Alligator mississippiensis: one gene and its partners. The protein of the gene in region 1 interacts with the protein of each later gene in a pairwise test. Links are inferred from orthologs where the notes say so. Each region holds a gene or a part of one and is shown in the gene's direction. Other genes may lie near its edges.

Evidence for each region.
Region 2: the proteins of MTUS2 (region 1) and CCDC60 interact in binary tests that used the Homo sapiens proteins (3 or more experiments, as listed by UniProt). The two-hybrid records come from large-scale screens. The link is inferred for Alligator mississippiensis from reciprocal best matches to the Homo sapiens genes MTUS2 and CCDC60.
Region 3: the proteins of MTUS2 (region 1) and TCEA2 interact in binary tests that used the Homo sapiens proteins (3 or more experiments, as listed by UniProt). The link is inferred for Alligator mississippiensis from reciprocal best matches to the Homo sapiens genes MTUS2 and TCEA2.
Region 4: the proteins of MTUS2 (region 1) and SH2D4A interact in binary tests that used the Homo sapiens proteins (3 or more experiments, as listed by UniProt). The two-hybrid records come from large-scale screens. The link is inferred for Alligator mississippiensis from reciprocal best matches to the Homo sapiens genes MTUS2 and SH2D4A.

Annotation. Positions count from the first base shown.
Region 1 is NC_081824.1:427,352,730-427,359,935, reverse strand, and holds the start of MTUS2 (microtubule-associated tumor suppressor candidate 2), read left to right. Parts: upstream 1-4,187; 5' UTR 4,188-4,246; intron 4,247-7,206. UniProt on the Homo sapiens protein: Binds microtubules. Together with MAPRE1 may target the microtubule depolymerase KIF2C to the plus-end of microtubules. May regulate the dynamics of microtubules at their growing distal tip.
Region 2 is NC_081833.1:21,831,698-21,838,863, reverse strand, and holds the start of CCDC60 (coiled-coil domain-containing protein 60), read left to right. Parts: upstream 1-4,153; 5' UTR 4,154-4,404; coding exon 4,405-4,710; intron 4,711-7,166.
Region 3 is NC_081832.1:3,006,896-3,014,260, forward strand, and holds the start of TCEA2 (transcription elongation factor A protein 2), read left to right. Parts: upstream 1-4,344; 5' UTR 4,345-4,385; coding exon 4,386-4,454; intron 4,455-6,800; coding exon 6,801-6,863; intron 6,864-7,365. UniProt on the Homo sapiens protein: Necessary for efficient RNA polymerase II transcription elongation past template-encoded arresting sites.
Region 4 is NC_081825.1:132,233,193-132,240,516, forward strand, and holds the start of SH2D4A (SH2 domain-containing protein 4A), read left to right. Parts: upstream 1-4,317; 5' UTR 4,318-4,742; coding exon 4,743-4,917; intron 4,918-6,214; coding exon 6,215-6,365; intron 6,366-7,278; coding exon 7,279-7,324. UniProt on the Homo sapiens protein: Inhibits estrogen-induced cell proliferation by competing with PLCG for binding to ESR1, blocking the effect of estrogen on PLCG and repressing estrogen-induced proliferation. May play a role in T-cell development and function.

The DNA of each region.
Region 1 (7,206 bases):
GTCTCTCACTGGGATTGTAGAGAGGCAACAGCAGGATGCCAGACTACCATGCGTAGACCCTGAGATGGTGCAGAGTCACTTGGAAGAACTGGATGCCTTTAAGTCGGCAGGCCCAGATGAGCTCCATCCGCGGGTGCTGAAGGCACTGGCCGACATCACTGCACAGCCACTAGCAGGAATATTTGAACGCTCGTGGCGCACAGGCCAAGTCCTGGAGGACTGGAAAAGGGCCAATGTGGTCCCCAATTTCAAGACGGGGAGGAAGGAGGACCCGGGCAACTATAGGCCAGTCAGTCTCACCTCCATCCTTGGCAAAGTCTTTGAAAAAATTATCAAGGCTCACATTTGCGAGAGCCCGGCAGGACAAATTATGCTGAGGGGAAACCAGCACGGGTTCGTAGCAGGCAGATCGTGCCTAACCAATCTAGTCTCTTTTTATGACCAGGTTACGAAATGCCTGGACACAGGAGGAGGGGTGGATGTCATATACTTAGACTTCAGGAAGGCCTTCAATACGGTATCCCACCCCATACTGGTGAACAAGTTAAGAGGCTGTGACTTGGATGACTACACAGTCCGGTGGGTGGCGAATTGGCTGGAGGGTCGCACCCAGAGAGTCGTGGTGGATGGGTCGGTTTTGACCTAGAAGGGTGTGGGCAGTGGGGTCCCGCAGGGCTCGGTCCTTGGACCGATACTCTTTAATGTCTGCATCAGCAACTTGGACAAAGGAGTGAAGTGTACTCTGTCCAAGTTTGCGGATGACACAAAGCTATGGGGAGAAGTGGACATGCCGGAGGGCAGGGAACAGCTGCAAGCAGACCTGGATAGGCTGGACAAGTGGGCAGAAAACAACAGAATGCAGTTCAACAAGGAGAAATGCAAAGTGCTGCACCTAGGGAGGAAAAATGTCCAGCACACCTACTGCCTAGGAAATGACCTGCTGGGTGGCACGGAAGTGGAAAGGGATCTTGGAATCCTAGTGGACTCCAAGATGAACATGAGTCGGCAGTGTGACGAAGCCATCAGAAAAGCTAATGGCACTTTATCGTGCATCAGCAGATGCATGATGAATAGATCCAAAGAGGCGATACTTCCCCTCTATCAGGCGCTGATCAGACCACAGTTGGAGTACTGCGTGCAATTCTGGGCACCACACTTCAAGAGGGATGCGGATAACCTGGAGAGGGTCCAGAGAAAGGCCACTCGTATGGTTAAGGGCTTGCAGGCCAAGCCCTATGAGGAGAGACTAGAGAACCTGGACCTTTTCAGCCTCCACAAGAGAAGGTTGAGAGGCAACTTTGTGGCTGCCTATAAATTCATCATGGGGGCACAGAAGGGAATTGGTGAGGTTTTCTTCACCAAGGCGCCCCCGGGGGTTACAAGAAATAATGGCCACAAGCTAGCAGAGAGCAGATTTAGACTGGACATTAGGAAGAACTTCTTCACAGTTGGAGTGGCCAAGGTCTGGAATGGGATCCCAAGGGAGGTGGTGCTGTCCCCTACCCTGGGGGTCTTCAAGAGGAGGTTGGATATGCATCTAGCTGGGGTCATCTAGACCCAGCACTCTTTCCTGCCTATGCATGGGGTCAGACTCGATGATCTATTGAGGTCCCTTCCGACCCTAACATCTATGAATCTGTGAATCTCTCATCCTGTCTTTTCAATACAGCATGTTTTATGAGTTGATTGGAACAATGGGTGCTGGCTCTGTACTAGTAAAAGAATAAACGCATTAATAACTTTGACATTGTATTGTAAACTGAACTTGAACTATGTAACTAAGACACACTATCCCACAGAGCTTACAGTCCTAGCCAGATAAAACAAGACACTGGGCAAGAGTTCAGACAGAGCAAAAATAAGGGAAGGTGTGGAGATTATTATTTGAATTTTTAAGAGGGGCTTAGGTCGATAGGGCTTTTTGGTGGTGTTTTGCATATTTAAGAAAAAACCTGAAGGGAGACAAGAATTGGAGAGTAGCCAGTCAAGCAGCAGAAAGCATTCCTCATTAGTAATATTTCCAAAAATGTTGTATTTGAAACCCTATTTAATTTTTCTTGACTCAAGTGTAGTAAAGCTTCTGCAAGAGAAAGAGGATGGACACACATTTTACTTTGGCATTCAGAAAGCTGGTACCTTGGGTCCATATAAAATAATCCACTACAGCTCAGTCATTTGTATGTACAGATGTCAACTTGCACTTATAACTATACTCATTACATGGGAAAAATAATATAAACATATTCATATAGCCATATTTAAATGGTGATGGTGTATGAAATACTTGACTAAATGTTCCTAGTTTTTCTGTGAAATTAGAAACTTGGAATTTTGAAAAGGGCTTGTGCAGTAGGCTCTAACCATAAGTTTTCTATGTCTCTAATCAAGAGATTACCCTAAAGCAGGGGTGCTCAACCTCCAGCTCTGGGACCAAATCTGGCCTGTTAGACTGGGCACATGAGGCTGATCCAGGCAGCATGAGGCCAAATAGGGGTTGATCTGGGTAGTATGGGACTGGATCCTGGTGCACAGGGCCTGATCTGGCCCACAGACAGGCCTCCTGCCACTCATCTGGCCTGTGGGGCCAAAAGCACTGCTGCCCCGAAGTTTAATAAACCCAGACTACTTTAGACCAGACGGAAGTGCCTGTTTCAAAGACAGTGGGATTTGTCACCCTTCTTGACATGTCAGGGCAGAATGGCTATTTCAGGGATTCCAGAAAGTGGTTGGCCAATTCTTGAGATCTGTCTGAAGTGATACAGTGTGCTTGTTCTTTTCCTTAAAGCGGTGATTCTCAACCGGGGTGTGCAGCACTTTTTTGGGGGGGGTTGAGATCCTTCAAGGGTGTTGCAGGGTCCCATGTAATGTTAGGTGTACAGACATGATTCTCAAGATAAACCCAGAGATTTCAAATAGGAATCCACACAGTTAAAACATTCTGACCTTTTATTATCTCTCTGTGTTCTTTGAAACAGGGGGACAAAAAGATCCTTTTTCCTTAGTCAAATGATGAGTGAAAACAAAGAGCTGGCATATTCTGAAGGGTGCTTTGAGTTGGGAGGGGTTGAGAACCACTGCCTTAGAACCCTGAACTCAGATGGTCACATATATCTCAGCTTCCAGGTCAAGAACAGAAATGCAGTACTCTAGAACTCTTGGTTCAGAGATGATACCTCCCATTAGACCAACTAAGAAATTACAAAAGAAATGATCTTTTTCTGCAAGCTCTTGGGCACACACACCGTTCCTCAGGCTCAGGGAAAACTAAAGATGGGGAAAAATCCCCATAAGTAAAGAAAAAGCATTGGGCATTGGCTGCGGCCAAGGCTGGGGATTGTGATGGCTTTTGCTGGCACTAAGTGGGAGGTTCCTGGCTAGAGGGTCTTGACCTTCAGCTTGGGGTCACATCGATCCTGGTATCCGGGGATGAAATTTTCCTCTCCTGACCGGTACCAACTGGGGGTGAGGTTTGTCTTCCTGTGGCGGGGGGATGTGGACGGTAAGACCTCGGGATCTCTCAAGCATGCATTAAGAAGCAGGATGTTGGCTCTCCTGCTTTCTCTGTGGCAAGTTGGGGTGCTGTGCCTTGGGTAGTGTCAGGGTTGAGGGCCGCTTCAGGAAGGGGCAGGCACCCTCCAAGAGCGTGGCGCTCGAAGACATGCCACGTGGCACGCGCCTCGGGGCGGTTGGTGGAGAAGGGCCTGGGGCCACACTGCCACGACAAAGATCGGGCCCCTCGTGGCTCCCCCATCTCATCTCATACAAGTCCAGGTCGCGGGTGCTTTCGGCCCCAACACGTCGCTGACCACGTGATGGTTACATTCTGCACTGGTCCAGGATGCTGGGGCAGGCGGGCCGGGGGCTGCCCTTCCCGCGGGTCTGTGTCAAGGCCCAGCCCAGGGAAGAGGTAGGCAGCAATGACAAGGCTCCGCAGCCTCCCTTTCCCCCTCCCCAACTTTGTCACTTGGGAATTTGTTTTTGTGGCCAGCCCTTCCCGTGGCACCTGGCCGCAGCCTGCCGGGCTCGGCGCCCCTGCGGCGCGCGCGGGGGCCGGCAGGGGGCGCTGCGGCTCCTGGCGGCGCGGAGGCAGCGGCGGGCGGCTGCTCCCCGAGCCTGTAGGGAGAGCTGCTGCCGTGCGCACGGGGCGGGGCGGGGCGGGGCGGGGCGTGCAGTGCGCGCGGCTCTCGGCAGCCGCGGCGTTTGGTGCTGGGGGCGGCGGAGGCGGCGACGGCGATAGCGGCTCCAGGTAGGGGCAGGGCGAAGTTGTCCGCGGGGCGCTGGTGTCGAAGCGGGTCCGAGGGGCCAGGGGTCCCTGCCGCCAGCCCAGGTGGGCGCTGCTGGGGGGGCCCCGCTGCCCGGGGTGTCTGCTCCCCCCGCGGGCCGTCCCGCGTGGCGCCTAGCGCCTCTCTCGAGGAATCGCCCACGATAACAAAGCGGCTTCTCTGAGTCAGAGGCTGTGAGTGGGGAGCTGTGGTGGGCATCCGATCCAGAGCCTGCCGCCCGTCCTCAGGTGCTTGCGCCGGGGTCTCAGCGAGGACAGGCAGGCCGGCTCGCTCCCTAGTGCGGGCACGGCGTGTGCCCACAGCGGGCTGTGTATCGGAAGCCGCCTTCCTGAAGGTAACCGGAGCGGGGAGAAGACCGTTTCTGTCGGCACCGAGCAGGCAGGTGGCTAATAATTTTGCTGAACTCGCTGCGTGAGCCAGGGGGTGGGATACGCTCGCAGCCCCCAGCTGACATGTCTCTGCTGGCACTATTTAGAAGCGTGGGCTTGGACAAAACGCTCGCGCTGGGAAGGGTTCAAGAGGTGTTTGTCCTTCGGGTCACTGTAACGGTAGGGATACGCCAGCACAGCTCTTGCAGCTCATTACGTGAAGGCTTTGAATGTTTATTAATGCCTATAGTTCAGCAAGTTGCGTATTAGCAATAGGTATTGATACTAGTGTAAGGGTAGCAAAATAAAGTGTGAAATACTTGTATACAGGTAAGATTTTTGCAATGGATAGGTGTATGATACAGGCACTTTTGAGACGCTCTGCGCTGAGCTGTAAAAGGATGTAGAAATGCCTTTTTTGTCTTTGTTTTTATTGTAAGTGTGTTATGTGTGTGAGGTTTTATACAGGGTTAGTTTTTGTGCCATTTGGATTTTTCATGTAGTTTCTATGTAGTATTTAATATTTAACTCTTATATTTTGGCTCTGTGTCAAATCTCTCCTTGTCAAACCTTTTTTTTTTTCTCTGATGATCAATATCTTTTAAAAACATCTGTATAAAGAGTTTGGTAGAGAGAGAAAAATCTTGACTGCATCTAGTGCAAAAAGGGAGGGGTTTTTTAAATGGCTAGATGTATCATAATTTTTTAGCTATTATTTAGTTCACTGCTTGTTGAAATATTTGTAGATTTGATTTTTGATAGATACAGCTTGTCTTTTTTGGATCTGTTGAGGAATGGGAGCACGTTCTGGTTACGGACTGAAATATTTTTTTAAAAACAGGTCAACAAAAGGAAGTCAGATTTTGATCATCATTTCTAATTTGTCTGTTTGGTTTATGGTGGGATTTTTTTGAGGTGAGATTTTTTTGCATGTCTTGCATTTGTTGTTTTGCTAATGGCACTTGTGGAGACTTTAATAATAAACATGACAGCTTCACAGGTGAAATGCTACTAGATATGCTCCAGAAGTTTTTTGTCAAATATTTCTCATGGTGCCAGCAATACCTGGTCTTTTTAATAAGATAAAGAAAGGGGGGCAGCTAATGTATAACTTAATATGGTTGATAGTAGAGGTTTGTTAAATAGCATTTGCCATGATATTTAGGAAGAAAGCAGCAGTTTCCTAGACTTTGTAAAAGCTCTTAACACTGTACATTACAGGAGGCTATTCAGGGACCTTGGTAACCATTCACTGAGAGGTAATTTTCTCAAGAAGTAAAGATCAGTTAAGAGATAAAAAGTGCGGAATGGGAGTTGAGGGCTGCTGATGATTTTTTTTTTTTTGGTTTGGGGTTAATAGAGGATGCCCCAGGGATTAGCTCTAGGACCAGAATTGTTGTTTCTAATGAAACTTAGTGACTGTCACATGATCGGACAAGCACAAAGTAATGCAGTTTGAAAGAGCTAATTTAAGCTACTCATACCCACTGATGGCTTTTGGACCTGCTATAACCTCTTAGGAAGAAAAGATCTAGGTGACATCTCAGTGAGAGTGTCAGCTAAGAGGGAGGCAGCAGCCAAAGGAGGAAAAAATGAATAGGTTTGCCAAGGAGAATGCTGAAAAATGCTCAGTTTTTCATGTGTTGTTCAAACATTTGTTAAATTACTATATTTGTAATGTTACTATCATCCTGCACACTGCAGTTAAGGTTATTAAACAGGATGTTTGTATCTGAAAAAGAAAAATAGCTGAGAAAAACAGTAGAAAGTTAATTGATTGATGGGAAAGAATTCTGTGCCTGGCTTCAGTTCTGCAAACTTATACTTGTGTAAGTAATGGGTTTTTTTAAAGCAAAGTAGTTCAGTTTGTTTTTAAGGTGTCTTAATACTGGTATCTTATTCTAATGCCTGTATTTCTATACGAATCTGTGGCAAAGAACTGAGACCTAAATACACTGAGGGATGTAGCTGTCCAGCTCCTGGAGTGGAATTCACAAACCTTCATTAAGTTCAGAGTTTATTATGGAGAGAAATAGATCCTTAAGGAGAGGATTTATGATAATTAGAGGTGCACAGATGCATCACAGTCTATATCATATCAGCACCAGTAAAAAGAACATTGACATTATCAGCATTTGACTTTTTTTGGCTGATGTGGCCAGTAATGGTGCTGATAAATGCTGTGTGCATGCACACAGCTGCAGCAATCATGTAGCCAGCCCAGCAACTTGGAGAGCAGCGTCCAGCTGGTAAGTCTGTTGGGGTAAAGGAGGGGAGGAAAGGGGGGTGTGTGTGTGTGTGTGGGGGGAGGGGGGATTGAGGCCCCCATCGTGAGGGAGGGGTGGGGCCGGGGCAGATGCTGCCTAGCTGGGGCAGGGCGCTGGACGGAGCTGCAAGTGGCTCGTCCAGGGGCTGTGGAGAGGGAGGGGGTGCCCCCCAGATGAGCCATTCCCTCCCTGCACCCCTTGGGTGAGCTGCTCTGTCCCATGCCCTGCCCCAGCTGGGCAATGCCAGCCCCAGTCCTCCTCCTCCCTCACTGTGGGGAGCCACCCCCC
Region 2 (7,166 bases), on another chromosome or scaffold:
GGTGCATTGGATGAGGTATATTACATTTCTGGAGGTGCAGCTGTAAGATCCTGGGATGCTGATGGCTCTGTTGTGGGGTGTAGTAATAGTGGGGGTGGTGGAGATGTGTTGGCAGGTTTTGCATTTCTTGTCATGGCGCGGTCTGGATCCATTCAATGTGTTCTGGGCTTGAGGAAGTTTGCTTCTGGTGATGAGGTTAGCGAGGTTCGGTGCTTGTCTGAAGGCTAGGATGCGTGGCTCTGGGAAGATCTTTTTAAGAATAGGGTCTCTTTCTAGTATGGGTTGCAATTGTTTGAGGATTTTTCGTACAGGTTCAAAGGAGGGGTGATACGTCATAACCATCGAGGTGCGATTTGTGAGGGGGTTTCTTCTGTACTGCAGCAGTTCTTCACGTGGTATCCAGGTGGCTCTTTCAAACGTGCGATCTCTCTCTCTGGAGGAGTGTCCTTGCTGGGTGAAAGCCTTTTTAAGATTGGTGAGGTGGCAATCCCGGGTGTTCTCATTCAGTGCAAATGCGGTGGTATCTGAGGGCTTGGCTGTATATCACAGCTTTTTTGCTGTGTTTAGGGTGATTGCTGGTTCTGTGCAGATATGTATGTTTGTCTGTGGATTTCTTGTATAACGTGGTCTGTATTTTATCATTCTGGATACTGATTATCATGTCTAAAAAGGAGATGCTGGTGCTGGAGTATTCTAGAGAAAGTTGGATGGAGGGATGGTGATTGTTGAATTTCTGATGGAACTCAATCAGAGATTGTAGGTTTTCAGTCCAAATGATGATGTCATCGATGTATCGTAAGTACAGCAAGGGTTTGATGGTGCAGTTCTTGAGGAAGTCTTCTTCCAGGTGGCTCATAAAAAGGTTGGCATACTGTGGGGCCATTTTAGTGCCCATAGCTGTTCCCACCATCTGGAGGAAGTGTTGATTATTAAAAGTGAAATTGTTGTGTGTGAGGATGAAGTGTATAAGGTCAGTAATATCTTTGGGTATGTATTCTGAGTTGTAATCTTGTTCCTGTAGATATGTAAGGCAGGCTTAGATGCCATCGTGGTGTGGGATGTTGGTATATAGGCTGGTGACGTCCATGGTGGCTAGGAGTGTGTTGCTGAGAAGGTGGTATATGTTTTTAAGTTTCTGTAGAAAGTCTGATGCAGATGTATACGTTGTACCACAAAATACATATTCAGAGCACTGGATGGGTAGACTTCCTGTTGAAGTCAAAATAAATCCTTTGGTCAATGGTACATTAGCAGTGTTAATTAAAAAAATTAAAATAACAAGTAAATAATAGATGTTTAAGTGCTATTTGAAATGCACATAACATACTCCCTCAGCTACTAGAGAAAACATTGCCAGAGCTAGATGTTGAACTCTGGAATATTTCCTTGCTTCACTGTTCAGATTTATGAAATATGAGATTTGTTCTAATGCAAACAAATCACTAAGACCAATCAAGCTTCAATTTCTCAAGGACAGGGATCATTGTATTTATGTAAAATCAAATTTTTAGACATTAAGGCTGCTCTAAAAATCCAATTTTTTTGCATGACGCTGGTTGATCAGGCATTTCTGTCAAATCCCCAGAATAAAAGTCTTCTGGTAAATGAGATGTTGCAATTTGTATTAAGAAAATCATGGAAATGAGCTATTTCATAGAGATTTTTAGTATGGGACATGCTTCATATACACATGCACGCATCTCAAGAAACAAATTCTGACTGCATTATCATGGTTTACCAAATTCTGACAATCCATGCTGTTGGCTAATATATTGCAAGGTAAAGGATATTCCTCTTTGGATGAGTGAGTCTGTTTTTAAGCTCTATGTAATTAAATTGGTAGGGAAAAATATTTCCGATACTTCTGTTCCATATTTTATATAAAGTAGATCAAGTTTTAGAAAACCCTCTCACCCTCTTACTAATGCAGAATAGTAAGCTTTTTTTCTTGAAAATATGGGAGTTTAAGCTGTCAATTTTGGCAGCATTCAACCTTTCTTTAAAGAAACAAAAACAAAGAAAAAGGGGGAAAAACTTTCTGGATGTAAATGTACACTTCCATCAGCAAACCAAGCATCCTCAGTGCTGGTTCATCTTAAAGAACCCTGCAGACTGACAGCTCGAATGTGTAGCCTGCTGTTACAGCTCTGCAAACAGCAACCCAATGAAATTAACAAGTCTCCCACTTTTCAGAATCATTTAGGAAGCGGCAAAGCTTGGAAGTCGGTTTCATACTGCTTCTAGTTCTTAGCCTTAGATTTGACTCGTAGGTCTGCTACTGGCAAGGACATTTTAATTTATATTTGTGCCAGTGTAGAACCAAATATATTAGAGCAAGTGACAATTGGGAATACAACAATCAAAGAAAATGAAAAAGGAAAAACCAGAAATGCGGCACAGTCATCTACAACCAAACAAGCAGAATGCAAAGCAATGCCTTTAGATGCTCACAGTTGAATTTAAATGCCATTGGGAAAATAAATCCACACCTGGAAAAGTAGGACAACTGCTGTTCCTTTCCAGACCTCTAGGCTTCAGGCCTGAATAGCTTGTAAACAGTCCCTTGCTTGCTGTGCGTTAGAAAAGGTCAGGTCCCAGAAATATTGTTACAGAAAGAGGCAGCAATTTTGGGATGCAGTCTGGGTGATGGGGGAAGAATATGGAAGAGTTTGTTTTTGTATTTATCTACTTCTGTTTTATAGATTTAGATCTCTAGCAAGGAAAGTTTGGTAAATGATTTAAAGCTGTACTAGGGAAGATCACTGCATCTTGGCCTTTGGCAAAATAGTTTTGTATCCTAGCTACTGAATCTTTTTTTTTTTTCCTGACAGAACATTTAAATGAAAAGACAATAAATGGGAGTGCTGTATTTTTTCAATATTTGAGGCTGGGTTTGGAAAATGAATGATGTACTTATTAATAAAATCCTTTAAGAGGTTTTCTTTTTTCTTAAGAGAATGTAAATGTTTTGGAGCATTTTTGATGAGATACAACTTTCTTGGTGGAAGCCATATACTTCAGATACCCAGGTCTTCCTGCTGGTATTGCTTGTATTGTAGAGCAGAAAAGATACAGCAGGGCATTCATTTTGAATTTTTGTTTGCCGACATTTATACCCTGTTTGCCATGATCTGAGTGATGTTTGAAATGTTTTACTGGAAATGTAGTGAGGGCACCAAGCTGTTTATCAAGGCATTGTCTAGTGCAGCGGTTCCCAAAGTCTGACAGATTGCGCACCACCAATTTAAAATGATACAACCTTAAATACCACCCGCAAATTTTTGTCATATACAGTTATTATAATAGATCTGTTAACCCGTACCACTGACAGGTTGCCTGCGTACCACTGGTGGTACCTGTACCCAAAGCCGACCCTAGTGGGTTTTGGGGTCCAGGGCAAATCAGCCTGTGCGGGGCCCCCTTAACACCGGGCAGGGCCTGTGGGACCCCCCTCAAAAGCAGGGCATGGTCTGGGGTCTCCCCCGCGCCCGAGGAGGGGGAGTCTCCGTGCTTCTCCCGAGAAACAGGGGGAGCCACCAGCACCAGACCCTGCGGCCGCTCCACCCAGCTCCACGGGCCCGGGGCAGTCGCCCCGATTCGCCGTGCCCTGGGGACGGCCCTGCCCGTACCACAGATGGGGAACCGCTGGCATAGCGGTTGAAGCAGAGCTTGGGAGGCAAGAGACTCGAGTAATAATCTTGCTCTGCTGGCAATTGTAGCCGGGCCTTACGCTAGCAAAATCAAGAGGCTTCCTGTCTTCAGCGGGAGCAAGATCAGGCCTGGTGTCACTTCCAGCAAGCGGCTCCACCTGCCTGGGCCTCAGCTTTCCCGTCTGTAAAACGGGAGCCGACGGGCGCAGAAGCAACCCGACAAACACCGCTCTGCACCGGTCCCTCCGCCTTTCCCCCCGTCCTGGGGAGATGAACAGATCATCGCCCCAAGGGCCCAAGTCAAGCTCTCTCAAACGCGGCGGCTTGGACGTGTCCCGCGGGCCTGCGGCTGGGGCCCAGCAACCTCCCCGGCCGGCCCGCGGGCAGCCGCCGCCGCCGCCGCCGCCGCCCCACACCACTCGGGCGCGGCGCGGGGCGGGGCGGGGCGGGGCGGGGCGGGTTGCCGGGCAACGCAGGACGCGGCGGCGGCGGGAGGGGAGGGGAGCGGAGCGGCCCGGCCCGGCGCGGCCCCCCTGCCCAGGCCTGTACACATGCAGGCGCGAGCTGGTGCAGGCCCGTGCCAGGGGCACCCTGGGCCGCACAGCCTGGTCCAGGCCTGACCCGTGCCCTTGGCAGTGCTGCGCAGAGGCAGGCTCCTGTGTTGGGTTCAGCCCAGGGGCCAGGCCGCAGCCCCCTGTTGTGGCGCTGAGGGGCCCCGACCCGCCTGCAGCGTTAGGGAGAGGGCGAGGAGCCGATGAGCAGCAGGGGCAGGATGCCTGGGAACACGAAGACGCTGGACCCTCGCTATTTCGTGCTCATCAAGCCGCTGCCCAATCCCACGCAGAAAGGCGTAAAGGTGCGGGCCAGGAGCAGCACCGCGTACCGGCGCTGGGAGCCCAGGCGGGAGGACGTGTTCTGGGAGAACTACCACCGACGGCACCAGCAGCTCACTCGGCAAGGCTACTGGACCCCCAGCTGGAAACCCTACCAGGAGCTCGGGGAAATGCTCTACCTAGAACCAAAGAAACTCACCCTCTACTACTTGGGACAGCTCCCTCAGGTAGGCTTTCCTCTCCCGCTCTGTTTTCCGTTATTTCCCATTTTTGGTTTTCAGTAGACGCGAGAAGAGCATCGTACTGTAATTAAATTGCGGAGATGCATTCCCATAGAAAAGAACAGTCAATTTCTGTTTAAGGAACAAGAAGGGAGTCTGCAGCAAGGCGCCGCGCTGGCCGATGAATCGATAATTCCGATGTGATAGAATGAATAATGGCAGCGCGGAACATCTGTACAAACGAAGCCAAACGTAGCGCTCTGACCTTTTGTGTTGCAGATTGAGAACCGAGAAGAGAGGTATTTAGAGTTGAAAGTTTTAGTACTTACTGTTTTAACAGAGCGGAGGAATTAGACAAATGAGAGTGAAACTTAGAGAAGGGGGAATGCACTCTTTTGTGGGATGGGTAATCAGATCACCCCTGAAAAAGGAAGGAAAGGAAACAAACAGAAGAGGCAATATATAAGAGTGAGAAAAAAGTGGTTGCACAGAGAACAGGAGTCATCAAAGAAATGATGGGTTTATAGTGTCAGACTCACTCTGCCCATCCTTTGGGCTGGATCTGGGCTGCAGTCCATACATTTGATACCCCTGATCTATAGAATAGGCAGTGGGTTAGGAACTGAGTGTAAAAGGGACATCTCAGAATTGGAAACAAGGTGATGGGTCAAAGAGTGAAAAACATTATCAAAGAGGGTGGTGTGAAAGCCCTTGTATCAGTTAAAGTTATTTCATGTTATGAACTGTAAGTGTATTGGAGTTCACAAAGTCAACTATTGTTAACTGGATCTGCTGTTACATTTAATACCCATTTAAGTATTACTTCATCATAGTCCCCTTGCTGTTAGATATTGTGTAAGTGGGTAGAGCTCTACCATGGGTCTTCATTACTGTCTGATTTAATGACAAAAAAATTAGTTTGCTTGGTTGCACCTGAGATGAAATTATAAAATCCTGTTTGTTAGCTTTAGGATTGCTGCCTCATGCCAGAAAATTTGTCTCCCTTATGTTCATGCTCTCATCCAAGGGAAGTAACTCCACCTGTTGTGTGAATAAGCCTGAATACTCTTCTACTTCTGCACCCCAGTAACTGTAATGCGGGCCTTGATTTCAACTGAGCTGTACTTTCTAAAGTGGTACCCAGGAGGCAGTTGTTTGCATCTGCCATGGAAATCAGTAGTGGTGTGGTAGAAGGGAGGAAAACAGAGGAGAGACTAATCACCCACTGCAGAGGAGATTCTGACTATTCGCTGCTTAATTCTCTGCAGTGAATGTATGTTGGATGAACTTTCAGAGATATAAAGACTTCCATTCACTGTTTAAAGCTTTCAAACAGGCACTGGTTCCCATGCATTATTTTTCTAACTTTCTGACATGTGATCATCTTCCCCTATTAGGTCAAAGGTATGGTTCTATGGGTACATGGGTGTACTACCAATATAGCCATCATCTTTGACCTCTGAAAACCCTTTCTTCTGAACCTACAAATACCTTTAAAGGTTGATCTTTCCATTACAATGTGGAAGTCAGTGGAAATTTTGCACAGGATATGGGCATTATAAAGGGAGATATTGAAATTGAGTTTGAATACTGGTATTTGAGATTTAAGTCAAATTAGCAGGTTAAAAATGTATACTTTCTGCAAAAATGAGCTTGATCTGGGTCAGGTCTGTATTAAAAATACAGTGTATGACTGTAACTTAAGTTGGAGATTTTCTAAGCTCATGGGGGAATTAACTGCCCAACTCTTTTATTATTGTGGGATTTGTGTGGCTAAACCCCCTAGTCAGCTTTGTAAATCTCAACCAAATTTATGTAATAAAATATGATTTTACTTTAAAAGACCAAACCTACCTTACCATAGCACTACGCTGGAATATTTTTATGATTCACTATATATTCAGAGTACTATACCTTACCATTTCAACCACTGGGTGAGTAAACTGTAGAATTCTAGAAGTGAAAAATATAATCTTTTTGACTACATTTGCAATACGGGCCTTCCAAAAGTTAGCCTTTGATTAGCCTATGAAGAATAGCAATACTGAGTAATAGTGAAGTCTAAACAGAATAGTCAGAAGATTAGAGCCCTCTGTGAGTTGAATTAGACCTGGGCTGGAGTTCTTCTGTAAATTAGCATCTGTTGACAAACACTCTTTCTTAAATGGAAAATCTCCCAAAAAGAACTAAAAAATGATTGAGAACCTATTAGGACATGATTACATAGGAAGATGTGAACATGAGTATAATGATCATTAGCTAATTACACATTTAGAGTATTATTTAAGTGCCTGGTGATAATAAGCATATGATATTAGCCAACAAATAGGCCCCCCAAAAGCTGTATCTTTATTGCTTATTTCTGTGTTGTTATTAAGTAAATCTGTTATCACTGGAAATTAACAATCAGTATTTGAATGCCTGACTGTTGTATTTTGGAAGATCTGCTGTGGTGATGTAAG
Region 3 (7,365 bases), on another chromosome or scaffold:
AAGGGCTTTTCAGGCACAGGAATAGAGCATTAGGAGGGAAGAAGTGGTGCCACCGGGCATTCAAAGTGGGATTAGGGATATGATCTAGATATAACCCCAACATGCTACATACTTACATGAACACACCTGCATGTCTAATAAGGAAGAGGATGCATAGGAAGGCAATTGTAGGGAATGTCATAGGAGTGTGTGGACAGGGTAATGGCAACTAGTAGACCTGAGAGAAAAGCACAACTGGGATAAAATGGAGAGACTCAGTTATCCCAACCCTGGGATTATCCAAACAACTGGCACATGAAAGGGCAATTCCAGTAGCAAGGGACTGCAGGGAATTAGTCAGTTTGGGGCATGCTCTATGCAGAGAGAGCTCTTCACATCCACTTTGAGCCCCGTGCTGTTCCAGATTTTCATTGCATTCCCTTACTACACAATGACAGGCTGGAGGAAGGCAAAGACAGGGTGATTTTACAGGAATACTTCAGCAGCAGACTGGAGGGATAGCAATGCTATGGAGTTGGGTAGTACAACATGCAGTCTGCATTCAGGGACTGAAGTCAGGACTCTTGCTGTAAATCCAGGGGCTCACTGGAGCAACAGAGGAAGGGAAGTGCTGGGCGTCTCGGTCAGTCACAGGATGACCATGTGCCATCCCTGTGGTGCAGCTACAAGAGGCTAATGCAATCTAAGCAAAGTTAGAAACATTAATGCCACAATGCCAGGCACCGGGGAGGCCTCATTTAGCATCTTGCTGCCATTCTGATCACCACGATTAACACAAAATGAGTTGAAACGGGACTTTGTGCCTGGTGGGGAGATGAGGGGAATGGAGAACCTGTCCCAAGAGAAGAGATTTAATGAGTTTGGCTCATTGATCCCAGTGAAACAGAGGGTGAGAGGGGATGTGACCCCTCCATAAATGCATTCAGGGATGAATCCCAGGGAAGAGTGACTACAGTTAAAGGGACAGCAGCTATGTAAGATCAGCTGAATAGAAACTGGGCACACAGATGCATTTACATTGGAAGTGAAAAGGAGGCTTCCCACCATCAGAGGAACAAGGTTTTGGGACAGCTTCTTGAACAAGGCAGTGGGGCAAGGAGCTTGGCGCTTCAGGGTGGTACTTGACAAGGCCCTTCTCCTTCCTCTGGAAGAATTCACGTGCCCTCAATACCCACTGCACCATAGGGCGGTGTATTCCTTCACATGCTTCAGGGTTTTTGCTGATCGCTTGTAGGGGCCAGGAAGACATAAGAACTATCGTTTACAGGGTCAGGCAATAGGTCCGTCTTGCCCAATCTCCAGACTGGCAGAGACTGGATGCTGAAAGGCAGAACGAACAGGGTGTGATCAGGGTTTTCCTCCCATTCCTCTCCCACTTGCAGCCTCCAGCTTTTAAAGTCCAGGAAGTTTTGATTCAGAGGGTTTTCCCTGAACTCCTGTGCTCAATAGCTACTGATGCCTCTTTCCTCCAAGAACGTGTCCAGGCCCTTTGTGAATCTGGCTGCATTGTCAGCGTCCGCTGCATCGGATGCCAACGAGTTCCACGCTTTAATTACATGCTTTGAGAGCACTTCCTTTTGGTAGTTTTTAAACTTACTGCCTACTAGATACGACTCCTAGTTCTTGTACTGAGAGGGATAATAAGTAATGACTCCCTATTTATGTTCTCGTCACCATTTTTAGTATTTTGTAAACCCTCATTATGTTCCCCCCTCCAGCGTCTCATCCCACCTGAATAGGCCTGGCCTCTTTAGTTGCTCCTCATATGGGAGCCCCTCCATACCACTCGTTATCCTTTTGCTCTTCTGTGGACCTTCTCTAGTTCTTCTATACCCTTTTTGAGGCATGGGGACTAAAAAAGGGCTGAGTGTTCAAGCTGTGGGCACACCATGGATTTATAAAGGGGTATAGTGATACTTTGCATTTAGCTTACAATTCTCTTCCTAATACTCCCTAATATTTTTGTTTGCCGCTTCTGAGCACTGAGCTGATGTTCTTAGTGAACTGCCCAGGATGACTCCCAGATCTCTTTCCTGTGTGGTAATGGCTCATGTAGAGCCCATCAGCGTGTAGATGTAGGTTGGGCTATTTTTGCCCATGTGCATCACTTTACGCTTACCTCTGCTGAATGTCATCTCCCATTTAGTTGCCCCTTTGCTGCCCTCCTCCTACATGAATGCATTGATTGATGGCTGGGGTTTTCTAACTTCCTCTGAAGTGTTGGAGGTTTGCCTGAGGCATGCTGCATATCCTCCAGGTGCCTTGCTTATGAACTTAGGATCAAACTGGTTGCCAGATATGGGGATAGGGAAGAATTTCCTGTAGGATCACTGTTTCCCTGCCTCTGTAGCACAGGGCATGGTGCACTCCTTAGCATCCCCTAGACATTTTACCTAACAAATCCCTACTGTGGTAGAGGCCCAAGGCATTGGCAGTGCCTTTCTTCTCTCTTCTCTTTCCCTCTGGCATGCTACAGATTGGGACTAAAGTGCCTAGCATTGTTATCTGTGGCTGAGGTGTTTGGGAAGGGCTGGAGCCGGTGTTTCTTTGTCCCATTTTGCACAAATGTTTATTGCCCGTGTGCCCGTGCTTGCAAGTGACTGGGCTTGATGACCTAGATGCTTCACGCCCATCTCCTAAGTAAAGAACGATGGTGATTTCAGGACCCTCTTTGCAAAGCCTGTGTGCTTGTCCCTGAAAGGTTACACAAATCCCAGGATACTCACACGGTTGGGGTTCTGCAAGAGGATGCACTTAAATTATGAGGGAGCATGAGGGGTCAGCATTAGATCCCCTGGATCTAATGACCCTTGAGACCAAAAGCTGGAGAAGGCACCTGGCACTTGTTCAGGATCTGGAAGTTTTAGAGCCTGCTGAGCCCAGCACAACAGTTTGTGTCCAAGGTGGGTGAGCTCTCTGGCATCTGTTTCCCATCCATGCATGGTCATGGCTGCTGCACACCAGCCAGGTATAGGATTGCTCTGCAATTAGGCAGGCTCTCAACAAAGCCCAAACGCCACCCTGGGCATCTGGAACCAAAATATAATCATTTCTATTGGGGGAGGGCAGCATCTGTGCGGCAAAGCAGCCCGCACCAGCCTAAACATCTGGGAACCCTTCCCCACAACAGCTGCCTGCTTTGCAGAGAATTTGCCCTGGACTTGACTCTGCTTTGCAAAGCCTGGCAAAGGACGGAGAGATTATAGCCAGGATTATAAGAACATTAAGAATTGCTATGGACTGGGTCAGACCCATCCTGCATCACGGCGGCAGAGAGCGGAGGTGAAAGGGAGAGCAAACTGGGTCTCACCAGGGTGTCCCCCACCCTGTTCCTCTCTCCCTTGCAGCCCCCAGCATTTAAAGCTCGGATGCAGAGGCCGTGCCCCGCACTCCCGCGCTCCATAGCTACGGATGCCCCTTTCCTCCAAGGTGCGCGATCCCTGGGTGCATCTGGCTGAACTGCCAGCTCCCACCACATCCAGCGACAACGAGTCCCACTCTTGTGGGAACCAACTTCCTCGCCTTTTAGTTTCAAACCGACCACCCGCTCGTTTTGTCCGACAACCCCCCGGCTCCTCCGAGAGCCGGCCCCGCATCTCTGCTCCAAAACCAAACCGATTGAGGGCTCTCAACCGGGAGGCAGCTTGGGAAATGCCGGCTCGTGGTTCTCCCTCTGGTTTGGGCTACAGAAAAATATCAGAAAAATGTTTCTTGGGGGTAAAGACCCCGCGGGGGAGGGGAGGGGAGGTCTGGGTGGACGTCTCCAGGTTTTTCTTGTGAATCATCATGTTTGCCTGCAGGTTGGGGCTGGTATGGAAGGAGCGCAAGGCTCCTTTGGGTGCTGTGAGCTTGTTTGGGTTACAGACAAATATCAGAGAAATGTTTCTTGGTGGCAAAGTCCCTGCCTAGGGGGTCTGGGTGGAAATCTCTGGGTTTTTCTTGTGAATCACATTTGCCCGCAGCGTGGGGCTGGCATGGAAGGAGCTCCAGGCTCCCCTGGGTGCTGCTGAGCATCACTGAAATAGATGGAGGGGGAAGAGAAGGGGTCAGGGCTCGGCTGGGCTGGGGATGCACTAGGTGCAGCGCCCTTGGGCTGGCACCGGCGCGCGGGCTGCTGGGAGTTGTAGTCCGGCCCCGCCCGCACAGCGCGGGGTGGGCAGGCGGAGGGCCGCACGTCCCAGCGTGCCCCGCGGCTGGCGCGCTGCCTGCTGGGAGCGGTAGTTTGCAGGGGGGCGGGCGGCCTGCGGCTCCCGTCGTGCCCCGCGCGCCGCAGGCCGGGCCGGGCCGCGCTGAGGAGGGCGGCGGCGGCGGCGGCGGCGGCGTGGTGGAGGGGGGGCCCGGCCGGTGCTCGGGCGGGGGGAGGCGGCCCGCGGCGCCCCGGCGCCATGGGCGGGGAGGAGGAGATCGTGCGAATCGCCAAGCGCCTCGATAAGATGGTGGCCAAGAAGAGCGCGGTGAGTCCAGGCCGCGTCTCCATGGCAACCTGGCCCCCAGGGGTGTCGCCCTCCCCCGTCGCGGCATGGGGGGGGGGTCCAGCCCCCATGGGGTAGCTATGGCACCTCCCCTCCCCTCACTTCATCTCCATGGCAACCCCTGCGCCCCTGGGGTACTCCCTATTGTCTCCATGGCAACCCCCATGGGCTATCCCTGACCCCTAAGCCCTGCCCCACCATGGGGGGTACCCCGCCATCTCCATGGCAACCCCTGGGGGGCTATCCCTGCCCCCTTAGCTCTGTCCCATTATGGGATACCCTGCTATCTCCATGGCAACCCCTGGGGTCCCCCCCCATGGACTATCCGCTCCCCCTGAGCCCTGCCCCATAAGGGGTACCCCCCAGTGTCTCCACGGCAACCTCTCTGAGCCCAGCCCCACCATGGGGACACCTCTGTCTCCATGGCAACCCCTGGGGTGTCCTCCCCTTGCAGCCCTGTCTCTCCATGGGGTACCCCCCACTGTCTCCATGGCAACCCACCACCCTGGGGTATCCTTTGTGCCCCCATGGCAACCCCCTGCTCCTCCCTGGGGTACCTCCCTCTCACTGCATCTCCATGGCAACCCCTGCTGGTCACCCGTGGTCCATCCCCTCCCCATCTTACTGGGGTGCCCGTGCCGGTCCCCCGCTGCCCTCCGGGGTGACCCCCCGGCCTCCACCTGCCTGGCGACCCCGTGCTGCCCTCCCAAGCCCCGCGGAGCAGGGAGTCTCTATCTGGCGGCCACGAAACCCCTTGGGTTGCTGCGGTCACAGGCCTCGCGGTACATTGGGAGCCTGCCCTGGGGCCTCCGTGCTCTGCGTCGGCTCTTCCCGTCCCATAAAAGCGCTCCTGTCTTCAACGCGTCCCGGGGCCCGGTCTGCCGCCGTCGGCGCGAATGGCAGAGTCCCCTTTTGGGGCCAGGCACCGGGTCGCTGCGTGCGACGCGAAGGCCGGGTTTAATTGACCCCCTGTCTCTGAATGCCGGAAGAACGAAAGGGCCGGAGGTTTGCCAAACTGGAAGGCTTCTGCCGGAGGGTTTGCCCTTATATGCGTGCCTTGAAAGCCTCAACTCCGCTTTGATTTAGCTCTCTCAGCCTCTGTCCTGCAGGATCACTGGCAGCTGGAGCTCTTCCCAAGAGGAATCGGAAACTTAGCATGGAGAGGGAGGCAGGCTGCTCCACACCACTGCAGTCACAGCCTAGGTCTTGCGTTGCAAGTCGGTCGGGAGTGATTAGTGTTGTGAATGAGCTGTTAAACGTGAACGCTAGAAGGCCTGCCCTCGTGGAAGGGGATGGGAAACGACGGCAATCTGAGCGGAGACTGACACCTTCCAGGCTGTAGCTTTGCATGGAGGATGATGCTGCAGAAGCGAAGCATTGCTAATGTCTCTGTTCCTCCCGTGTGTGATGGTTTGTAACAGGGGTTAAAGCGCGTGCGGGCTGATGGAGCTGGTAGCTGCGTGTTCTGGACTCAACAAAGTTGACACGTGACTGCTTTATGTCAGTGGGGCCAACATTTTTGGCAGGCGTGCCGCGAATGAAGCCCTGCATCCTCCCCGAGTGCCATTCTGATCCCCTTCTCATACCCGACCTGCTGCTTGGCTTTCTGCTGCCTGTGCTATCCCCTGCTGTGTGGCCTGCCCCCCTCCCCAGTCTGTAAGCTGACTGTGCCACTGGTAGCACTTATGCCACAGATTGGCCACCTCTGTTTTATGTGATGTTTTCCAAGTGACCTCCCTGACTTCGCTGTTGCTTTGGTGCTGTGCTTGGAGGGCTCTCAAAGGGACAGTTTACGGGTAGCAGCTGCTTCAGGCTTTGTGTCCTACAAGCGACGTAAGTGCTGCAATGGACAGCAGCTTTATATCCCACATGTGTGGTTGCAGAGTGCTTTGAGAACCTCTGATGCAATAGCTTGGCAAGCATTGCTGAATTATTGCTACAGGAAAAGGTCAGAAGAGAATACTTGCTAAAGGAGCAACCCTTGTAAGTGCATTGTTATGAAGTTATCCTTGCTCAGAAATTTTTGTTATAAGGGCACAATACAAATGTGTTTGTATGCCAGGCTGGATGTTCTGCATAAAGATGTTTGTCTCTGCTTTGCTTCGTTCTAGTGCCTTCGTTAAGCCCTCTGTATGATGGGGACTGGAATAGTGGGGGCTAAAATATCAGGCCCAGGGTTAGTTGGTTGACGTACTAAGGAGGGATATTATTTGCTTTGGCTCCAGTGAGGTGATTTTTCAAGGGTTGCATTGATTTGTTTTGTCTTTGGCGATACCAGAAGTGGCTCACTAGTTTTAGTAACCGAGAGATGTCTTTTCTCCTTCGTAGGACGGTGCAATGGATTTACTGAAGGAGCTGAAAAGTATGCCCATGACTCTGGATTTATTGCAGGTAAATCATGCAGCTAGGGAGCAGACAATAAAAATCCAGATTTAGATGGAATAGATGCAGGTTTCTTTTAAGTAAGGTTAATATAGGGCTCCTCTTTCCCTTCTCCCTCATTAAAAGATGCACTAAACTGCTGTAACATCTTATTTACAATGCCTCACCATACCGAGTGCTATGGGTACTATTCATCTTCATAATTAGATGCTTCCAAAATCTGTGTCAAGGTATTTGGTGAAATCATCACCTTTTCCAAAATCACTGCTAGGGGCTAAGTAGAGAGAGAGGGAAAAGAGACTGTAGTAGCAAATATGAGGCCAGAGGTAGCTGCATCTTAAACCTCTTTGTAATACTTAATAAGGCAGAGCATTGACTTTGGTTTTGAGTGGGGAGGCGCGGGCTGAAGCAGGGCTCAGCAGAGGGGCAAGATGTGTGCGCCAGGAGGTGAAGCCATGACTAGGTCAGGGGAATGTTGCATTGGTGCACGATTCTAGGGGGAAGCTTTCTG
Region 4 (7,324 bases), on another chromosome or scaffold:
CTTCTCCTTGTGTCCTCTCTCTAGCCCTGACATCCACACTGGTCAGTGATTAAGGGTGAGAGCCCACAAAGTCTCATCTGCTTCTACAGGACTCTCCCCCACACCCTCTTTGAAATTGCTGGGAAAGGGGGTAGTTGGATAATAGTCTAGATACTCCACTGCTTTATTGGAGGCAACAAATGAAACTTGTCCAGTCATGCTGCAGATTCCCATTCAAAATAATCTTCATCTATTGGAAATGTAAATGAGTTCACTTCTCCCTCCCTCCAGGGCTAAATTTTCAAAAAAAGAAAAAAATTGAGGGACAGGGTACATCAGGAGTTAAATTTAGCTCAGAAGAGCTAAGCCTGGTGCCCCTGGAAAAGTTCAAGAAATCAAGAAGACTGTATGCAGTCGTCAAATATATTTTGTTATAAGGTCCTGTGAATTCAATGTTCATCTCAGCAAAGCGCAATAGTTATTGTAACTATTATAAGAAACTATTATACATGGTTGTGAGTGGAGTCAAATAGAAATAAACATGAGAACAGTATGTTACAAAAGAAGAATAACTTGCTTCATTTATGGGTGTGCCCAAAGAAAAACACCATAGAGGAAACTGGAGGATGGTTAAGATTGAAATATGCACAACTGCCACATCCGTATTAGGGGTAAAAAAAAATATAATGCTAAGTAATCATGGAGAACTAAAGATATCATGAATCTTAGGCTAGAAATTGATGTCACTGAATGAAGCAGATCTGTTGTGCCACAATGTGTTGCAGCACAGCAGATTCACTTCATCGGGCAAAACACATGTTGGCCCTTGTCTAGCTCCTGATATACTCCTTTGATTATAGGGGATGGGTCTCCCTGAATGGGGAAGGTTGGGCTTTCTCCTCTCACCCAGACACGTTCCTGTGATTGTGGGAGATAGGTCTGTAAAATCAGGTACAAGTAGCCCCCAAACCTCCAAACATGCATACTAATCAGGATATGCAGAGAAAGAATACACAAAGTTGCCATAACAGTCATAACCATAAGAAAGCATATATTACATAAGCAGGGTTACAAGTGTAAGCACATTGTATGTCTGAGCCCTTTTTAAGGCCGGAGTTAAGGACGCAGTGTACCACAGGATCTTGTAGTCTGCCTTCCTTAGGATTGCCAGGAAACGCTTTATTCTGACCTTTCAACAAACCTACCCAGATGGCACCAAGCACTACTGTCACTAGATGTGGAATGAGCTGACCTGATATCTAGTCTTAAAATGTTCTTTCATCAATGCTGATCTTGCTTATTCCTGTATTCTGGATAGCTGGTGCCTACAGGTGTCTCAGTATGTCTCACTGAGCCTTCTGACCTATGCCCAAGGGGCTTGATCCTCCCTCAAATAGCAAAATATTTGCTGGCACTTTTAGGCCAGGTACAGACATTACACCTTTACCAGTATAAGTGATCAGAAACCAGTCTATACCCATAACAGAACAAAAGTTCAGCACACAAAACTGGTCTATACTTGTAACAGGTTAGATGTTTGGCACGCATAGACTGGTTTAAAAATGGCAGAACTCAGTCTAAGATTCGCTCCCGCCTCCCCCTCCCACCAAAAGGCAAATGCGCATTGTGTTTACAACTAATCTAAACTACACCACTTATAGAAAACCATGTAACAGATCAATTCTGCCTCCGGCCTTTTTAATGTTTTTTATTTAGCCTTAACCAGTTCCTCTCAGCTATGCTAGCCCACCAAAGGTCAACCAGCCAAATCACAACAGCACTACCAAAGGTCTTTGGCTACAGAACATCAAACTGGGGAGTTCAGACTTTTAACCATGCAAGTAATAAGCAGCCAACCATGTGGCTGCACAGTGTATATTAATGGATGTGGTGGAGCCTTCATCACTTGAAGTCTTGCAAATAGGACTAGACTTCTTCCCTCAAGATGCAGTCAAGTTCACGGGAGAAGGTGTGAGCTAATTGCAGAAATGGTTTTATTAATTTTCCCATAGGAAGCCAGACTGGCTGTACATATGATCCCTTCTGGCATTTGTATCTATGAATGCATGAAAAAGCAGGCTGGACAAAAAATGATTACCCCTGCAGATGTGCACAGCCTTTACAATATGGGCAGCAGCCTCTGAGCACAGTCACCTGCCCCTGTACTGAGGCGAACCAGATAACAAGAGGAATGCTGCCCCAGACAGGCTGGCTGGAGATGGGTAGCAGCAGTGCAAACTGATAAGGCTCCTGAATCACTAGCTTCACATACATGCTCTTGGCCTATACTAGGTTTTCAAGGTCAGTATATTCCTACAGTCCTATTTTGCTTCATCCTAGCAAGAAAAGATGGCAGGGGTTATTTGAGGATGGTTATGATCCAAGAGACTGTAGAGTATGGTCCAAACACACTTGTACTGTCCTACTGTACATCTCTGGGCTGGTTGCAAGCAGGCAAATATCCCAGAACTCTAAGTTAATAAAAGAGAGGTATTACAGTTTTTACTTCCACCTTCAGGGCTTCTTGAGATAGGTCTTGCTCAAGACACTTGGGTTCCATTCAACTCTTGATCAATTGTCTCACGCTTAGTTGGCAAAGCCCCTCTTTGGAAAAGCAATGGCAAAATCTTTGGGAGCCTTAGACTGTATCTGCCACTTACATTGCCAGAGAACTTGTGCCCAAATCCCACATTGCTAACAGATGAATGGGAAAATTAAGAGATTCATTTCTAGAGCTGGATGAACTCTTTTTTTTTGACCAAATAGCTTATCTGCAGTTTCAGGTCCTGGCTGTGAAATGATTCATACATGTGGGTCAAATTAAGCAAATAGTTTTGGCTGAAAAAAAAATGGCAAAAAAGAATTTTGAGAAACCCACAATGCTTTACTATCACATTTTCAAAATGCAAATCTTTGATTTTGAAAGGATCTTTTGTTTAGAAATGTAAATAGTTTAATGGAAAGAATGAAAACACCAGAAATTGCAAGAAAAGCTTAATTTTAGTTTGCCTTCCCCCTCCGCAATGTGCAGACCCTGGCTGAGGGTCCATTCCCCCTCACCCACTCCCCCACGGCTGACAAGTTGGGGACTGGTTATGGGGCAGGGCTGGAGCTGGGGCACTCAGAGCCTAGCAGAACTGTGCTGTAAGGGAGAAAAGCCCCCACCTCAGAGGTTTTCCCACCCCTTCCACACCCGCTGTGCAGTCCCTGGTTGGAGGGAGCTGGGGCTGGGGCAGGGGTACATTCCCCTCCCCTCCCCCGCCCCAATCCCCAACCCTTTGCCACTACCAGTGGGGCTGGGGAGACTGCCTAAGCTCTGTGACAGCTGCGGGCGGCCTCCCAGCTGGCCAGGAGCAGACAAGTTGGGGCAGAGGTTAGCCTACCCAATCAGCAGGGGGTGTTAGTGAGGGCTGGAATACATCCTGGGATGCCGGTGGACTGAGACCTAACTTATGTCCAGAGGGGATCTGGGACAGAAGTTCAATAGATGGGTTTAACCTGAATCAGTTAAGTCTGATATTACATCCATCCAGGCCTCTCTTAAACTAGTTTTGACCATTTTGAAGCTGTTCTATGTGCACTGAACTTCTGTTCTGTTACAGGTTTAAACCAGTTTCCAATCACTTATACCAGTTTATGTATAATGTCTGTCCCTAGCCCTTAAGTCCAGGACAAAGAAAGCAGTGCACAGGCTGGTCTAATGGACTCTGAGGCTGACTTGCATTTGATTTCTAAAAGTTCAGGCATCAGAAACAGCTTTGAGATGTGGCAACTACAGCCAAACCTAATTGTGGAGCAGACTGAGTGGAAACTCAAGGGAGAGCAGGTGAAGACTTTCACTAGGAATAGTTGAGTATTTCCAGTTTGCTTGAGAAGGACCCCTCATGTACACACCAGTATTTTATAACCAGTTCCTCATCCCAGATCATAGTACCATACTTCTATTTGTGGAGATATGTCCTTGCCTATGGAGGGTTTCCCCCTCCTTCCTGTTTATCTCCTTCCATGGTTTGGAGGTACTACGCAAGGGAGATGAGCAACATTTTTCACACCAATAAAAATATCACCCCTGGACCTTCTCAGCTCTTGTCAGCCTATAGCTACTTCCAGCTCTAGTGGCTTTGAACAAATTGCCCTGCCTCTTATGCTGTATTGGGGATAGTGCACTGTAACTTGAGATTCTGTGGGTGGGGAGGCCAAAAATCACTGTTCCTCCCACTCTGTGCTTGCTTAGATAAAATGGGGCATGTCGACCTTTTAGCCTTGTATGGTGCATTCTCAGTGGTTTCTTTTTTTTCAAAAGGTGTGTGGGAGGGAGCAGGGAGTTTCCTAGCTGAAGACCCACAGGTTCATTGGCCTCTTGAGCAATGGTATGTTTGCCTACCCAGAAATAAGCCACACCTCTGACTTTGTTATACATGGAGCGTTTTTTTTTGATACAGTATCAGATGAGATTATCAGGGTGCAAACATGGTTTTCTCACTATGAGCAAAGTCTATACCAATTTGTCCCTGAAAGACCAAGGAGACGGGGAATTCTAATAACAGGTTGGAAGCTGTTTATTTACTTTTCTGGCATCTGTGCAGGAAGTCTGAGCTAAAATAGGTGCAGAGACGGGAATATAATTACCATAGGAAGCCTGCATTCTTGCTGTGCGATCAGTGTGTGCAGCGACTTGCGGGCCCAGGCATACCTGAGTGACAAAAGAGAACCTCATCTTTAAAACTCATTGCTACCAGTGTGAATACCTGAGAGACACAGCCATGCTGAAACAGATTTTGGCAGATATGTACGTTGATCCTGACCTGCTGGCAGAGCTCAGTGAGGAACAGAAACAGATCCTCTTCTTCAAGATGAGGCAAGAACAGGTCAGACGGTGGAAGGAAAGAGAAACTGCCACAGGCAAGAGCTCAACAAAAAAACCTGCACCAAGGAAAGGTAAGACTCTGCCCAGAAGCAGATTCCAGCTCTCATTTCCCTCCCTGACAAACAAAGCTGCTTCAATGGGTGCTTTGCAGCCGGGTGAAAAGCATTTCTAAAGAGATATTGCTTTGGTTAGGGAAGCACAGCTGGAAATGGTTATAAATACAGTTTCCTGCCATCACAGGTGCGGTTTGGGTTCAAACCTTGGTTTCTGGCTCAGGCAAGGTGGGGTTGGCTTCCAAGACTGACCTTGGTCAAACCCCTTCCATTTCCCTGCCTTAAAAAATGGGAATAATTGTCTGTCTCATCCATGCAGACTGTAAGCTTTTTGGTACAGGAGCTGTGTGTATGTATAGTTCCCAGCCTGATGGGGTCTCTAGATTCTCCAAATAGCTGCTCAAGCACCCATTCAGCAAGACCAAGGCTGAAGCAGTATGGGCCTTTGGACCGTGCAGCTAAATGGACTGAGATATTTCAAATACTTCTCTTCTGGGTGCATACACTTGTTTTTCAGCAGCCCAGTCCATGCCGTGTTGGCAAGTCCTGTTGGAGAGGCATGCAGAAAGCCCTGTCTGGGCTGGCTATATCAGCAAGCAGGCAACAGCATGACCCTCACAGCCAGCGAGAGGTCACATAGCATTAAGGTGGTTCCAGACCTGAGGCCATGCTGGGATTTTCACTAGCAACCACATTGCTCTGTTAGGCATAGGAGTCCCTGCCATTCCTTTCTCCCACGCCATTAACCTTAGGGCCAAAGAGGAAGCATGGAGCAGCAAAGACTGGTCTCCACTGCTGAGGAACCACCTTTGTTCCTCCAGGCAGTGTCCCCAGCCATGTCTTTCATTGAAACATGGTTCAATGAATTACAGGGAGTTTAACAGAATAGGCAGGTAGCTGAGCTCCCTTACAACATCCCCAAGAAAAGGGAATAATACATGGTGTGGGTTGGAGCAAGGGAAGGGGCCCTCAGTTGGGAAAAATGGCTTTGGTCTCCCTCATAACCATGATGTAATACAGAATCCCACCAACCTCAGTGCAGTTGCTTGCTACACAGCTATGGGGCAAAGTGTGGGAATCTGGTCCAGCCAATACTCCGGTTGAGGGAGATATTGTTCTACAAATATATGTGGCATGTCAAATTGCTAGCAGCTTCACCCATAACCTGTGCTCCTTGCTGCCTCCCAGACCAACCTGCTTTACCCAAAAGTCCCACCAGCTGCCTGGAGGAAGGGAGGGCATGGAAGGAAAGAGCTAGAGCAGCCCCTGAGGTTGCCGTTCACCCTGCCCAGCCACATGAATGCTTGTCTTGCAGCCAAGGGGAAGTCGGTGAAGTGGAAGCTCGGAGCAGACAGTGAAGTCTGGGTCTGGGTCATGGGTGAGCACATGTTGGATAAGCCATATGACATGATCTGTGATCAGATCCTTGCTCAGAGGGCCCAGCAACAACCCAAGGAGGAAGTCAGGTAAGGCAAGCCTCTTTCTAAGAGCAGGTTCAGCAGGTTTGCAGCTGCTAGCAGGGATGTGTCACTAGTGAAAAAGGAGGGAGCCATCATATTATATAGGGAGGGTAATTGGTGCAACATGAAAGGGAGATCTAGGATGGAGGCAACTATTGTGGGTTCTTCAATCTGGATCCTGTCAGACTGGATCCTCCTTCCCCATCAGTTTCATGACAAGCAGCTGCAAAGCTACTGGACCTACTGTGTGTGTCCTAACTGGACCTATTGTATGTGCCAGAGCACTGCGTGGGCTGCAGGGCATACACTCAAGTCTCAGGGCACATGAGGCCTGGGATCTTTGAAATCTAGGAGGTGTTTTCTGTTATGGAGCATGTGACTTGAAGCCTGCAGGAAGCCAGATATCAAGCTAGAGTTGTTCGACCTGCTCCTGAGCAACTAGCAGGGTGTGGGCGTGTGTTGACATCCCAGTTCATTTGCAGATGCCAGAGGTGTGAACTAAGGGGTTCCCAAGTGCTCCCTACCTCTGCCATGCGGGAGCCACATTTAGCCCTGCTGCCTGCTGTGCCAATAGGAGGGGAGCTCAAATCCAAACCCTGGGGTGGTGCCCTTGTAAAATGGGTCAGGAGTAATACCTCTGTACAGTGCTAGGGGTGCAGTAATACCTGTGTACAATATTTGGAATGGTCAGTGTCTCTGCTACCAGAGTAGGTGACATTTGAGACTATTAACAGGGGCTCCTGTTGCGCAGGAGTTAACCTGCCCAGTGAGTGATACCTTTACTTGCCCTGGGGCTTGTGGTGCTCCTCAGTCTGAGAGCCTTCCACACAATTGCTGTGTTTGCATATGATTTCCCTTCAGTTGCATGGAAGGCACCAGGCTTATTTGATTTCCAAATCCCATTTTTATCTCTTCACAGAGAGAGTCAAGCATTGACCAAGCCTTCCATAACATGGTCTCTGCAT